Linked DNA regions of Canis lupus familiaris. The protein of the gene in region 3 interacts with the protein of the main gene of each other region in a biochemical or structural test. Links are inferred from orthologs where the notes say so. Each region holds a gene or a part of one and is shown on either strand. Other genes may lie near its edges.

Region 1 (3,327 bases), on a different chromosome or scaffold from region 3:
CCAACCCCCTTTCTGTCTCCTTCAGGTTTGTGCTCTCTTGTCCTGCTCTGCCTCTCCCTCTGGACCTCCTTTCTCTCCCAGGATAGGTTCCTTTTCAAGTCTTCTCTACGTGAACATGTTTTGCCCTTCCTGATCCCCCTGCCCCAGGGCCCCCGTTTCCACCTCAGACACTGGCCTGGATCTAAAGGGGCTGATGGTGTCCCTTTCTTCCTGCAGATGACAGCCGTCTAGAGGAGCTCAAGGCCACACTGCCCAGTCCAGAAAAGCTCCCTGGATTCAAGATGTATCCCATCGACTTTGAGAAGGTGCTGGGTGGGAGCCGTGGGCAGGCAGGGGGATGGGCTAGACAGAACTGACCTTTGGGAATCTGATGGCAGCCCCAGGCCCTTATGGGAATTGGATCTTGGGCCTGCTATATGGCCCTGAATGTATAGATGTTCCCAGCCATGCCTTTGTGATCTGAGAGCCTGGCAGGTAATTGCAGTGGAGGATACTTGTCTGCAGAGGCCAGGAATCCTCTTCCTCCTCTGACACTGATCCTCTCTCATCCTCTCCCCACCCTTCCCCTTCTCCCTCCCTCATTCATAAAAGGATGATGACAGCAATTTCCATATGGATTTCATTGTGGCTGCTTCCAACCTCCGGGCAGAGAACTATGACATTCCCCCTGCGGACCGGCATAAGGTGAGGGGAGTCTGGACCTGATTCCCCCCCTCACCCCTGGCTTGAGTTCTCTACATTCCATTCATTCAATGTAGGCTCTGAGCCGCTTCCACCTTAACTACCGTGTTTCTTGATCTTCCTGCCTCACAGAGCAAGCTGATTGCAGGGAAGATCATCCCAGCCATTGCCACAACCACAGCAGCTGTGGTTGGCCTGGTGTGTTTGGAGTTGTATAAAGTGGTGCATGGGCACCGACAGCTTGACTCTTACAAGAATGGTTTCCTCAACTTGGCCCTGCCCTTCTTTGGCTTCTCTGAACCCCTTGCTGCACCCCGTCACCAGGTAAGGGCCTGTATCAGGGCAGGTAGGTTTGTGAGCAGGGGGTTTCTTCTGTGGAGCTGGCTTTAGTTTGCTTGCATAGCCTATCACCAGGTGAGGGTTTCTGTCAGCATGCACCTACTCCTTTTGTGCACACCTTATTCATTTATTTCCTTGCCCTGTTTTGCGCTAAGCACTGATGTGAATCTGCCTGTAGAAGCCCTCAAAAAAGATGGAATATTTTAATTGTACCCTAAGAGGTTATTAATAACATAATAATAGCAATCAACATTTACTGGGTGCTTATGGCAAGTACCTTTACTCACTTTATTCATTAACTTCAAATGTTTGCTGAGCACCTGTGTGCCAGATACTCTTGTAGGTAGTAGGATTGTATTTGTGCAACAGATTTTATAACATGATAAATGATTTTAGAACCTCCCAAGAAACAGCAGGGCAAGGAGGACTTGAGACTACCAGGTGGCAGGGGGATGGGATGGGGCCTTCAATTGTGGGATGGTCAGGAAAGGCCCTGCTGAAAAGATGACCTATAAGCCCAGACTTGGGCTCCCTCCCTCCAGAGGGAGACAGACCATGCAGGCTCCTGGGAGGAGAACATTCCCAGGCCAAAGGGACCATTCTCTTCACGGGTCCCAAGGTAGGAGGATGCTTGGTGTGTTTGAGGAAGAGTAAGTTGGTAGAGCGGGGGCGGGATGAGGGGTAGGAGGTTAGGCCAGAACAGGCTCCCAGTGCCTAGGCTTGTCAGTCATTGGTCACCGAAAGGTTTCGGTTGCTAGCTCAAGTTGTGAGAGAAGCCACGTTTTTGATGGAAGAGGCTTGCAGTCTGAGCACATTAGCCTGAGTGGGGGTGGGCAGCAGGGGTGAGGACAAGACTGACGGGGCTAGGCCCTGTGCTGGCCCCTATCCCATCAGCCCACTTCTTGCCCCACAGTACTATAACCAGGAGTGGACGTTGTGGGATCGCTTTGAGGTCCAGGGTCTGCAGCCTAACGGTGAGGAGATGACACTCAAACAGTTCCTTGACTACTTTAAGGTGAGGCCCCTTTCTCACTCTCACCCCCACCCACAGGCAGAGTGTGCTGGTGAGATTCACTAGGCTGCCCACCCCCCGTGACACTGCTGTCCCCCTTCCCCCTCCTCCAGACAGAGCATAAATTGGAGATCACCATGCTGTCCCAGGGTGTGTCCATGCTCTACTCCTTCTTCATGCCAGCCGCCAAGCTCAAGGAACGGTTGGATCAGCCGTGAGTTGGGGGGCTTCTGCTCACATCTGTTCCAGCCCAGTTGGCTGCCCTTTGCCTCTTTCCCTGCCACCCAGCCCTCCCTCACTTTTTGCCTCCCTGACCCTCTGTTCCCCCCACCCCTCAGGATGACAGAGATCGTAAGCCGTGTGTCGAAGCGAAAGCTGGGCCGCCATGTGCGGGCGCTGGTGCTTGAGCTGTGCTGCAACGACGAGAGCGGCGAAGACGTCGAGGTTCCCTATGTACGATACACCATCCGCTGACCCCTGTCCACGCCCATAGGCTGGCCCCAGCCCTGGCTCCTACCCCACCCCACCCCCCAGCCCAGGGCTCCCATCAAGCCTCTGGCAGTGGTCCAGCTAGCCACGCCTGGTGTCCCCTCCTCATCTCCCTCCCTGCACCCCTCTTGCCGCTGCTTTCTACCTTATTTGGAACCTGAATCCTAATAAAGAATTATTAACCCAGACGTGGCATTCCCTGCTGGTTCCAGGGAAGGAAGAGACTTCCCAGAGCTGTCCAGTTCAGGTGGTAGCCCAGAGGGCTCAACCCCACCCCAGCAGCCAGTTGCCTGGGCAAAGAAAATGGGAATTGCCGCTTCTTCCTCCCACCCTCCGTGTTTGGGAAGAATTGGATGGAGGCATAGGGTGGAGGTAGCTGGGTCCATGTGACTGTATTGGAGCTGGGTTCAAATTCCATCTTGTCCAGCTCTAGCTCCCAACTCCCCACCACCATGTTGATTTTGAGAGGTAGTGAAGAGTCATGTTTGAGCAAGCCCCGCAGCTTCTCTAACCTTGTCTTTCGTGAAGAAGAACGTTACTGCAACCCGTCGACCAGGGCTTGGTTAGCATGGCTTATGTCCTTGGGGGGCAGATCCCTTCCCATGTGGCTTAAAGCACTGAGACTCCAGACAAGTCTTAAAATCATGGTTCCCAGGACCAAGTGCCCAAGGTCAACTTCCCAGCTACAGGGGGCTCTAAACAACTGTTGGACTGAGGAAGATCATGACTGTTCAGACTTTAAAGTTTTTATGAAAATATTTGGCTGAGAACATCTGTAGAGGAAAAGCCCCTTTCCCACTCCACCC
Region 2 (3,644 bases), on a different chromosome or scaffold from region 3:
CTTGCCTGTTTTCTTCTGCCTGAGAATGCAGCCTAGCTGTGATGGGGATTCAAAGCAAGTACTTCTGTGGCAGTGGTCTCACGTGGGTGTGAGCCCAGAGGCCTGGCTGGGGTACCTGTGTTGCTCCCATGTAACAGAGCACCCAGACGTTTATCTGTGGCTATATAGTTTATGGGGGAATGTACTCATCCTGGGGTCCACGTGGCCATGTTGCCTATAAATGTACATGCGTTCAGAATGGTCCTCACGTTGTCTGCACACGATGGGGCCAGTCAGATGCGTGGCCCCCGGGAGTCTGTCTACCGAGTCAGAGGTGAGCACTCTCTCCGTGCCCTGCATCAGGCCCACCATTGCCAGAGATAAGCCTGGGCACTGAGGTCTTAGGGTGTGGGGGCACATTGAGGGGAGGCCTGGGAGGCCTCCTTTGGGCTTACTATCCTACTCCAGAGCAGGCGGCTTGGGGGCTCCCCAGGGCTGGCTGCAGGGTGGGCCGCTGTGTAGCTTCTCCTGGCCTCTGGTCCACGTCAGACTGGGGCTCAGCTCCTTACCTCCCCATACCTTCCAACAGTGGATCGAGAGGGTGGTCGGCTGGCTGGGCAAGGTATTCCTGCAGGATGGCCCAGCCAGGCCTGCATCCCCTGAGGCTGGCAACACACTCCGTCGCTGGCGCTGCCACGTGCAAAGGTTCTTCTACCGTATCTATGCCAGCCTACGCATCGAGGAGCTCTTCAGCATCATCCGAGGTTGGCCCCCTGCCCACTGCAGTAGCCCACCTTTCCTGGGCCTTTGCCCTTCAGATCTTGCAGGCAGTGAGGGGCACTGGGGACTGTGGCGTCCACCAGCATGGGCTACCTCAGCTCAGTGTCTGGGTCAGGGTGGTGTGGTGGGACATCAGAAATGTCCACTCTCATCCTCTCAGCCTCATGTCTGCTCTGTCCTTCTGCACCACGGGGTTGGGGGTGGGGGTGGACGATGGGCACGCATAGGCACAAGGATGACCTGAAGCACCTAACAGATGTCTCTCGGTGTTCCAGAGTGGAGGTGCAGCTGCTTACCCTCTGGGCTCCGCTGACCTTGTGTCTTGTGTGCACAGCATGTGGGTGCTGGCATCTGTGTGTTTGGGTATTTGCATGCATGTACAAAGGCTGGTACTCTTCCTACAGACTTCCCAGACTCCCGGCCAGCCATTGAGGACCTTAAGTACTGCCTGGAGAGGACCGATCAGAGGCAGCAGCTGCTCCTGTCCCTTAAGGCTGCCCTGGAGACACGGCTCCTCCATCCAGGTGCTGAAGCTGCTGGCTGAGAGTCCAGCCTCCCCAGCCCAGGGCCTGTGTAGGGAGCAGGTTTACGCAGCCCTTAGGAGGGTCAGGGCACTCCACTTTATCTTCCCTTGGAGGGAGTCACAGGAAATGATGGGTGTGACCTCAGGGCAGGTGGGGTATGTGATCTCTTCAGAACAGACCACCCAGTGAGGGGGGGCTTGGATCTCGGAAAATTCTGGGGAGAGCACCTGAGAGTTGGCGGGGAGGAGGCTACTTCCTGCATGTCACACTGGTGTCCTGAGGAGGGAGGTCACACAGACAACCTGAAGCCTGCCCAGCCAGGGCGCAGCTGCTTGCTCGTGGAACCACAAGTCCTGGGTACTGTGGTGACTGCCGTCCTCCATCCTGGCCGCAGGTGTCAACACATGTGACATCATCACCCTCTACATATCTGCCATCAAGGCCCTGCGTGTGCTGGACCCTTCCATGGTTATCCTGGAGGTGGCTTGTGAGCCCATTCGCCGCTACCTGAGGTGAGTACCGCAGGTGAGCCCCAGGGAGCTGCTCCAACCTGGAGCATTTGTCTCCTGGACCCATTTGTGCAGCCATGCTCCTCCTGGGTCCCTGTGCCTTTGAAACACCAGGGACACTCTGTCCTTCCTGTAGGGCCACATGGCCTGGCCAGGGCTCCCTCCTGTACCTATTGCCCAGTGCCACCACCTGTGTGCAGACACTGGGGGGGCCCCCCTTGCATCCCTGCTCTCCATCCTCCTCCCCTTCTCCCAGCACAGAGAGGCCCCCGCTCAGCTTTGCCTTGCTGGACAGGCCCCCAGGCTGACGAGGAGCAGAGGCTGTTGGGTGGTCTGTCAAAGATTGTGTTGAATAGGTACTGTGGTACAGCTGCCCAGAAACGCCTGGGGCAGTGGAGGCTCAGGGCTGGGGCTGGGAGGCATCCGGAGCTGCCCTGACTCACGTTTACCATCTCTTGGTTGTGAAGGGCCTGGTTTTCTTACTTTTCCTTTTTTTTTAAGATTTTATTTCTATGGGAGCATCTGTACGGCTCAGTGGTTGAGGGTCTGTCTTTAGCACAGGGTGTGACCCCAGGGTCCTGGGATCAAGTCCCATATCGAGCCTGCTTGTGCCTCTCCCTGTGTCTCTGTCTCTCGTTAGTAAATAAAATCTTAAGAAAAAAGGATTTTATTTACTTTGAGTGAGAGAGAACGCGCGCACAGCAGCAGGGGAGGGCAGAGGGAGAAACCGACTCCCTGCTGAGCAGGGAGCCTGATGCAGGACTTGATCCCAGGACCTCGGGATCATGATCTGAGCTGAAGGCAGGTGCTTCACCTCCTGAGCCCCCCACGCACCCTGGTTGTGTCTTATTTCAATTCTTGGTGCTCCTGGAAGATGGTGGGTTTTTAGTTATTTTCACTATCGTTATTATCCTTTGAGACAAAATTTGGTAAACTCAGCTTAAGCACGTGGCCAATAGGCACTGGCTGCTGGGCGAGGAGATAGGGTGGTGTGGGCTAGTATGGAGAGCAGGGAGAGGTGCCGTGAGGGCCAGCAATGCTCATATTTGGCAGGACACGGGAGGATACTGTGCGGCAGATTGTGGCTGGGCTGACAGGGGACTCGGACGGGACAGGGGACTTGGCTGTTGAGCTGTCCAAGACCGATCCGGCGAGCCTGGAGACTGGTCAGGACAGCGAGGATGACTCTGGCGAGCCTGAGGACTGGGTCCCTGACCCCGTGGATGCCGATCCAGGTCAGTGCCCACCAGCCCTGCCAGGCCCTGGACTGTGGGGGAGGGTTCAGGCCTCTAGTTGGTTTTCACCATGCCCTGAGGTTTGCGGGGGGTCATCTGGCCTCATCCTACCCTACCTGTTCCCCCGAATGCTTCAGCCAGCTTGAGTGGGCCCACAGTGGCCTGTCCCCAGCCCGGTTGCTGGAAGAGCGGGTTCCCAGGCAGCCTATACACTGCCCACCCTGCCCCCAAGCTGGGATCTGAGCCTGGGCCTCACAGGCTGGGCAGGGTGGGCCCTGCTTGAGCACAGATGGCACTCCCTCTCTGCTGTGCAGGGAAGTCCAGCTCCAAGCGGCGCTCCTCGGACATCATCAGTCTCCTGGTCAGCATCTACGGCAGCAAGGATCTCTTTATCAACGAGTACCGCTCACTGCTGGCTGACCGCCTCCTGCACCAGTTCAGCTTCAGTCCTGAGCGGTGAGGCCTGCAAGCTGCTGCCTGCCCTGCTTCTGAGGGAGGGGCATCAGGGATGCCAAGCAAGGACCGGCCTGAGCTCAGCCAGGGGTTTGGGGAGGCCAGGGGCAGTGAGGGGGTGGCGCTAGGCTGGGATAGAGCAGGCCCCAGGTCTCCATGGCTGG
Region 3 (4,134 bases):
CTGCTGCTGGGTTGTGGTGGGGGGCGGGGGGAGGGGAGAGCTGAGAACCCCTTCCTTCTGTGTCCTTGTGAACTCCTCAGGGGGAGTCCCCTGTACCCAGCATACTGAGACTGACGTTCAGTGCCTGGCCAATCCTCCACAACTGTGGGGGTCCTGTTCCCGGAGACTGGGCCCCACACATGAGAGTACTGGTGGTGCCAGGGGTCTTCCCATTCCCATCAGGGTCAGCACAGGCCTGCAGAGTGGACACCGAGGCCCGTCGGGGACACTGCATCCCCAGGGCAGGCGTGCAGGGCAGAGGCCCAGCGCCCCTCACTGTCAGGGCCGTGCCTCGACCTCCCTCCTGCACGTCACGAAGGGCCCCAGCGGCCGTCTCCCACGTGGGGGTTAACAGAAACCCGACGTCCTGACTGACGCCCGGCACGATTGCCGGGCCACCAGCGGTTCAGCCCTCGCGGCAGCGCAGCCGGCTCTTTCGCGCCACGGAACGCACCACGCGGGTCACCCGGCACTACCCGCACAAAATGGCGCCGCGCAGAAAACTGTAGCTGGCAGAGGAGCCGGCCGGGGTCCGCGCGTACCTCATTTGCATATACAAAACTGACGGATTTCACTGGCTGCGAGCGGCTTGGCCTTCACTGGGAAGAGCCCCATTGGCTATCCTCCACCCCTCCCCGTCCCCTGGCTCCGCCTTCTCCGCCAGGGTCTGCCGCGTACGAGCCTCGTGACGCCATTCCACGATTGCGCGTCCCTATTGGCCAGGGAGCCTTCCATCATCCGTTTAACCCCCCCTAGTCCCGCCCATCCTCGCCCCGCCCCGGCTCCGCGGCCGACCGTTAGCCGCGTGCGCGATTTCCTGGGCGTCAGTGCACGCGCGCGCACGCCGGGCCAGGGAGGTGTCTCATTCAAACGATCCAATCAGCGGGCGCGTTCCCCCTCGCGTCTTCTGCTCCTCCATCATCCCGCCGCATTGCCCCCATTCTCCAGGGACCCCATTACGACCCCCGCGCGTCCCCATTGGCCGGCCCGCCGCGTGCCCCCCTCCCCAACTTCTCCTGAGTCTTCTTGCAGCTTACGGGAAGGGAGCGAGAGCCTCGAACGCCTAGGGCCGTGCGCGGTGACATCACGGGTCAAGGCGCGGCACTCCGGGACCGTGGGGGGGTGTGGCCTACAGGCGGCTATAAAAGGGCGGCGTTGCGCGCGCGGCCGGCTCAGTGCGGCCGGGTACTTGGGGCAGGCGGAGTTCTAGGCGCGCTGCGCGGCGGCCGTCGGAAACAGCCGGGAGCGGAGCGGGGCCGCCGGGGCCTCTCCAGGGCCACAGCGGCAGCAGTTGGGCCCCCCGCCCCAGCCGGCGGCCCGGAGAGAGCAGGAAAGGGGCCGGGGGGACCCGCCCCCGGCCAGCCACAGTCATGGTGAGCGCGGAGGCCAGGCCCGGGTTAGGCGGTCGGGGGGCCCCCGCTGGAGGAGGAGGCGGGGTCTCAGGAGCCTCTCGCGGACCGTGTGTATTGGGGGGTGTCCCGGGCCTGAGATGGGTCACAGGCCTTCCTGGAGGCGGGCAGGAGTGGAGGCTGGGCGTCTCGCAGGTTCCCCGAGGGGAAGGCCGGGCTGAGCCCCGGAGAGGGCTCTCGGGCTTTGTGGCTGGGCCGTGGGGGTTCCGGGAGCAAGGTATTCGTCTCCAGCCCTGACTGAAGGTTTCTTCAAGGTTAGGTAGGGGAGGGGGCCGGGGTAGGCCTCGGGCACAGCCGGGATCTTTTTTGGAGGGGGGATACCGGACCCACCCGCAAGCCCCTTGAAAGACCGCCCCCATTTTTGGCGAGAGGCCAGCCTGGGACGACCCTAGAAGCGTACTGGGTGGGGTGTCTGGGGCTGCCGGGTCAACACCAGGATGGCCCTAGCATCCTATCTGCGGGAGGCCCTGGCTCTGCCGGTTGCTCACTCCTTTTTCTCTATGTCCAGAACTCCAATGTGGAGAACCTGCCCCCCCACATCATTCGCTTGGTGTATAAGGAGGTGACAACGCTGACTGCTGACCCGCCTGATGGCATCAAGGTCTTTCCCAACGAGGAAGACCTCACTGACCTGCAGGTCACCATCGAGGGCCCTGGTGAGTGTGGGACTGGAAGGAGGATGGGTGTGCTTATAGATATCTCCCCATCAGTACAAGAGTAGGTCAGAAAGGCAGACAAATAGCGTATGATTTCGCTTATACGTGGAACCTAAAAACCAGAACTAGAACAAGAATAGGAACCCCCTGTTATAAGTTGGCTCTGCCAGGTGCTGGAGATACAGTGGTGGGCTGCACAGAGACACACAAATAACAGAGCATTGCGTATATTTTTCCTGCAGGGAGTGAGAGCATTTAATGGGCACCTTACTGGGGTTTGTCAGATAGGGGTTCTCTGGGACCTGGAGGGTGGGCCCCCAAGACAGGGGAGGGAAGCAAGCCAGATGCAGTGTCACAGGAGGGAACAGTAATAACCAAGTGATCGCACGTGACTGTGGAACCGTGCAGGGATGTAGTGAGCTGTTGTCACAAAGTAAGCTGAGAGGCGGCATGAGCATGTGGTGGAGGACCTTGTGATGGAGAACCTGGTCAGGAGCGGGATGTGGTGAGGGCGTCATTGCTCCCAGATAGGGGAGGGCCTGAGGCAGGTGCCCTGGATACTTGGTAGGAACAGGAAGAAGAGACCGATGAACGTTTAGGGCTTGCAGGAGTCTGGAAGGAGTTCAGAAAGGAAGCCATTGGCGGATTTAAAGCACAGGTGATGACTGCAGTGTTCAGTTGAGAGGAGGGGAGGACAGGTTCAGGAGGAGACCAGGAGGTCAGCTGCCCAGGCTACCACGGTGCAGGGTATTGTGGGGGGACCAGGGCGTGAGGAACAACATGGGTCCAGAACCATTCACTGAGGTGGGCAGGCGGGAAGACCCGAAGTGACAGAACAGTCCCATCACTTGCCTACAGGCCTCCCAAGGAGATGGAAGGCAAGTGAGTGGGAATCTTGGGAAGGGTACATGACCAGGACACTTGGGAGAGAAGAGGCATCCAGGGGTGGCTATGGGGCCCCTGGGAACCTCGCTTCTGGTGGAGGAGGTATCAAGGCACTGGCCTCACAGAGAGTCCTGAGCCTCCTGACTGAATCCCCTCTCCCTCCCTCCAGAGGGGACCCCTTATGCCGGAGGCCTGTTCCGCATGAAACTCCTGCTGGGGAAGGACTTTCCTGCCTCCCCACCCAAGGGCTACTTCCTGACCAAGATTTTCCACCCCAATGTGGGCGCCAACGGTGAGATCTGCGTCAACGTGCTCAAGAGGGACTGGACAGCTGAGCTGGGCATCCGGCATGTCCTGCTGGTGAGTTCTGAGATGGCCCAGGCCTCCTCCCTCCTGGATGTCCCAGTGATGTCAGAGCCATGGTGCATTGTTTCTTGTAGTAAAACTAACTCTGAAGTAGTTGGGAGTTTCCATATAAAAAATCCAGATTTCCAGCTGGAAAGTTCTGGGAGGATTGGCAGTGCTTTACCCAGGACACTAAGTATGGTTGTATAGGTGGTGCAGTACCTGGGGTACCTTTGCTGTAGAACAAGCAATGGGTTTGTATAATAGGATACTTTCTGATAGTACAAGTCAAGCATTTGGTTAGGGGTGTTGGGCTTTTTCCTAATCTATAACTTATGATATAAAATTCAACATTCTAAGTATACAGTTGTTGGGTATATAGTAATCACAAAACTTGTGCAACCGTCACTGCTATAGTTCTAGAATATTTTCATAAACTTCTGTTTCTCAAACAGCAGTGATTTGTACCACCAGGGACGTTTTGCATTGTTAGGAGAGGTTTGTAATTGTATCTAGCAGGGGCCAACCAGGGGTGCTGCTCCACAGCCCCAACAGAGCAGTATCAGCCAAGCCAAGATGGAGACACCCATGATCCCCAAAGGCCACTCCCCACCCCACTAAAGCTGAAGAGATGTTTTTTAGGGGCACCTGACAGGCTCAGTCGGAAGAGTATGCAACTCTTGATCTTGGGGCCTGGGATCGGGAGTTCAAACCCCATGTTAGGTGGAGAGCTTACTTAAAAAAAAAAAAAAAAAAAAGTAATTTTGTTTTTAATGGAATTGCTGATGAGCCCCAGTGGC

The links. The genes of interacting proteins can lie anywhere in the genome.
Region 1: of the proteins of UBE2S (region 3) and UBA1, one has a biochemical effect on the other in vitro, tested with the Homo sapiens proteins (8 studies listed by BioGRID, with this or other methods). The link is inferred for Canis lupus familiaris from reciprocal best matches to the Homo sapiens genes UBE2S and UBA1.
Region 2: the proteins of UBE2S (region 3) and ANAPC2 form a complex in vitro, tested with the Homo sapiens proteins (3 studies listed by BioGRID and IntAct). The link is inferred for Canis lupus familiaris from reciprocal best matches to the Homo sapiens genes UBE2S and ANAPC2.

The regions. Positions count from the first base shown.
Region 1 is NC_049260.1:41,007,036-41,010,362, forward strand, and holds the end of UBA1 (ubiquitin-like modifier-activating enzyme 1), read left to right. Parts: intron 1-216; coding exon 217-305; intron 306-591; coding exon 592-684; intron 685-813; coding exon 814-1,005; intron 1,006-1,933; coding exon 1,934-2,035; intron 2,036-2,145; coding exon 2,146-2,246; intron 2,247-2,370; coding exon 2,371-2,506; 3' UTR 2,507-2,709; downstream 2,710-3,327. UniProt on the Homo sapiens protein: Catalyzes the first step in ubiquitin conjugation to mark cellular proteins for degradation through the ubiquitin-proteasome system.
Region 2 is NC_049230.1:48,466,646-48,470,289, forward strand, and holds part of ANAPC2 (anaphase-promoting complex subunit 2), read left to right. Parts: intron 1-568; coding exon 569-743; intron 744-1,163; coding exon 1,164-1,283; intron 1,284-1,677; coding exon 1,678-1,795; intron 1,796-2,845; coding exon 2,846-3,027; intron 3,028-3,341; coding exon 3,342-3,483; intron 3,484-3,644. UniProt on the Homo sapiens protein: Together with the RING-H2 protein ANAPC11, constitutes the catalytic component of the anaphase promoting complex/cyclosome (APC/C), a cell cycle-regulated E3 ubiquitin ligase that controls progression through mitosis and the G1 phase of the cell cycle.
Region 3 is NC_049222.1:103,047,675-103,051,808, forward strand, and holds the start of UBE2S (ubiquitin-conjugating enzyme E2 S), read left to right. Parts: upstream 1-1,238; 5' UTR 1,239-1,409; coding exon 1,410-1,412; intron 1,413-1,956; coding exon 1,957-2,104; intron 2,105-3,158; coding exon 3,159-3,349; intron 3,350-4,134. UniProt on the Homo sapiens protein: Accepts ubiquitin from the E1 complex and catalyzes its covalent attachment to other proteins. Catalyzes 'Lys-11'-linked polyubiquitination.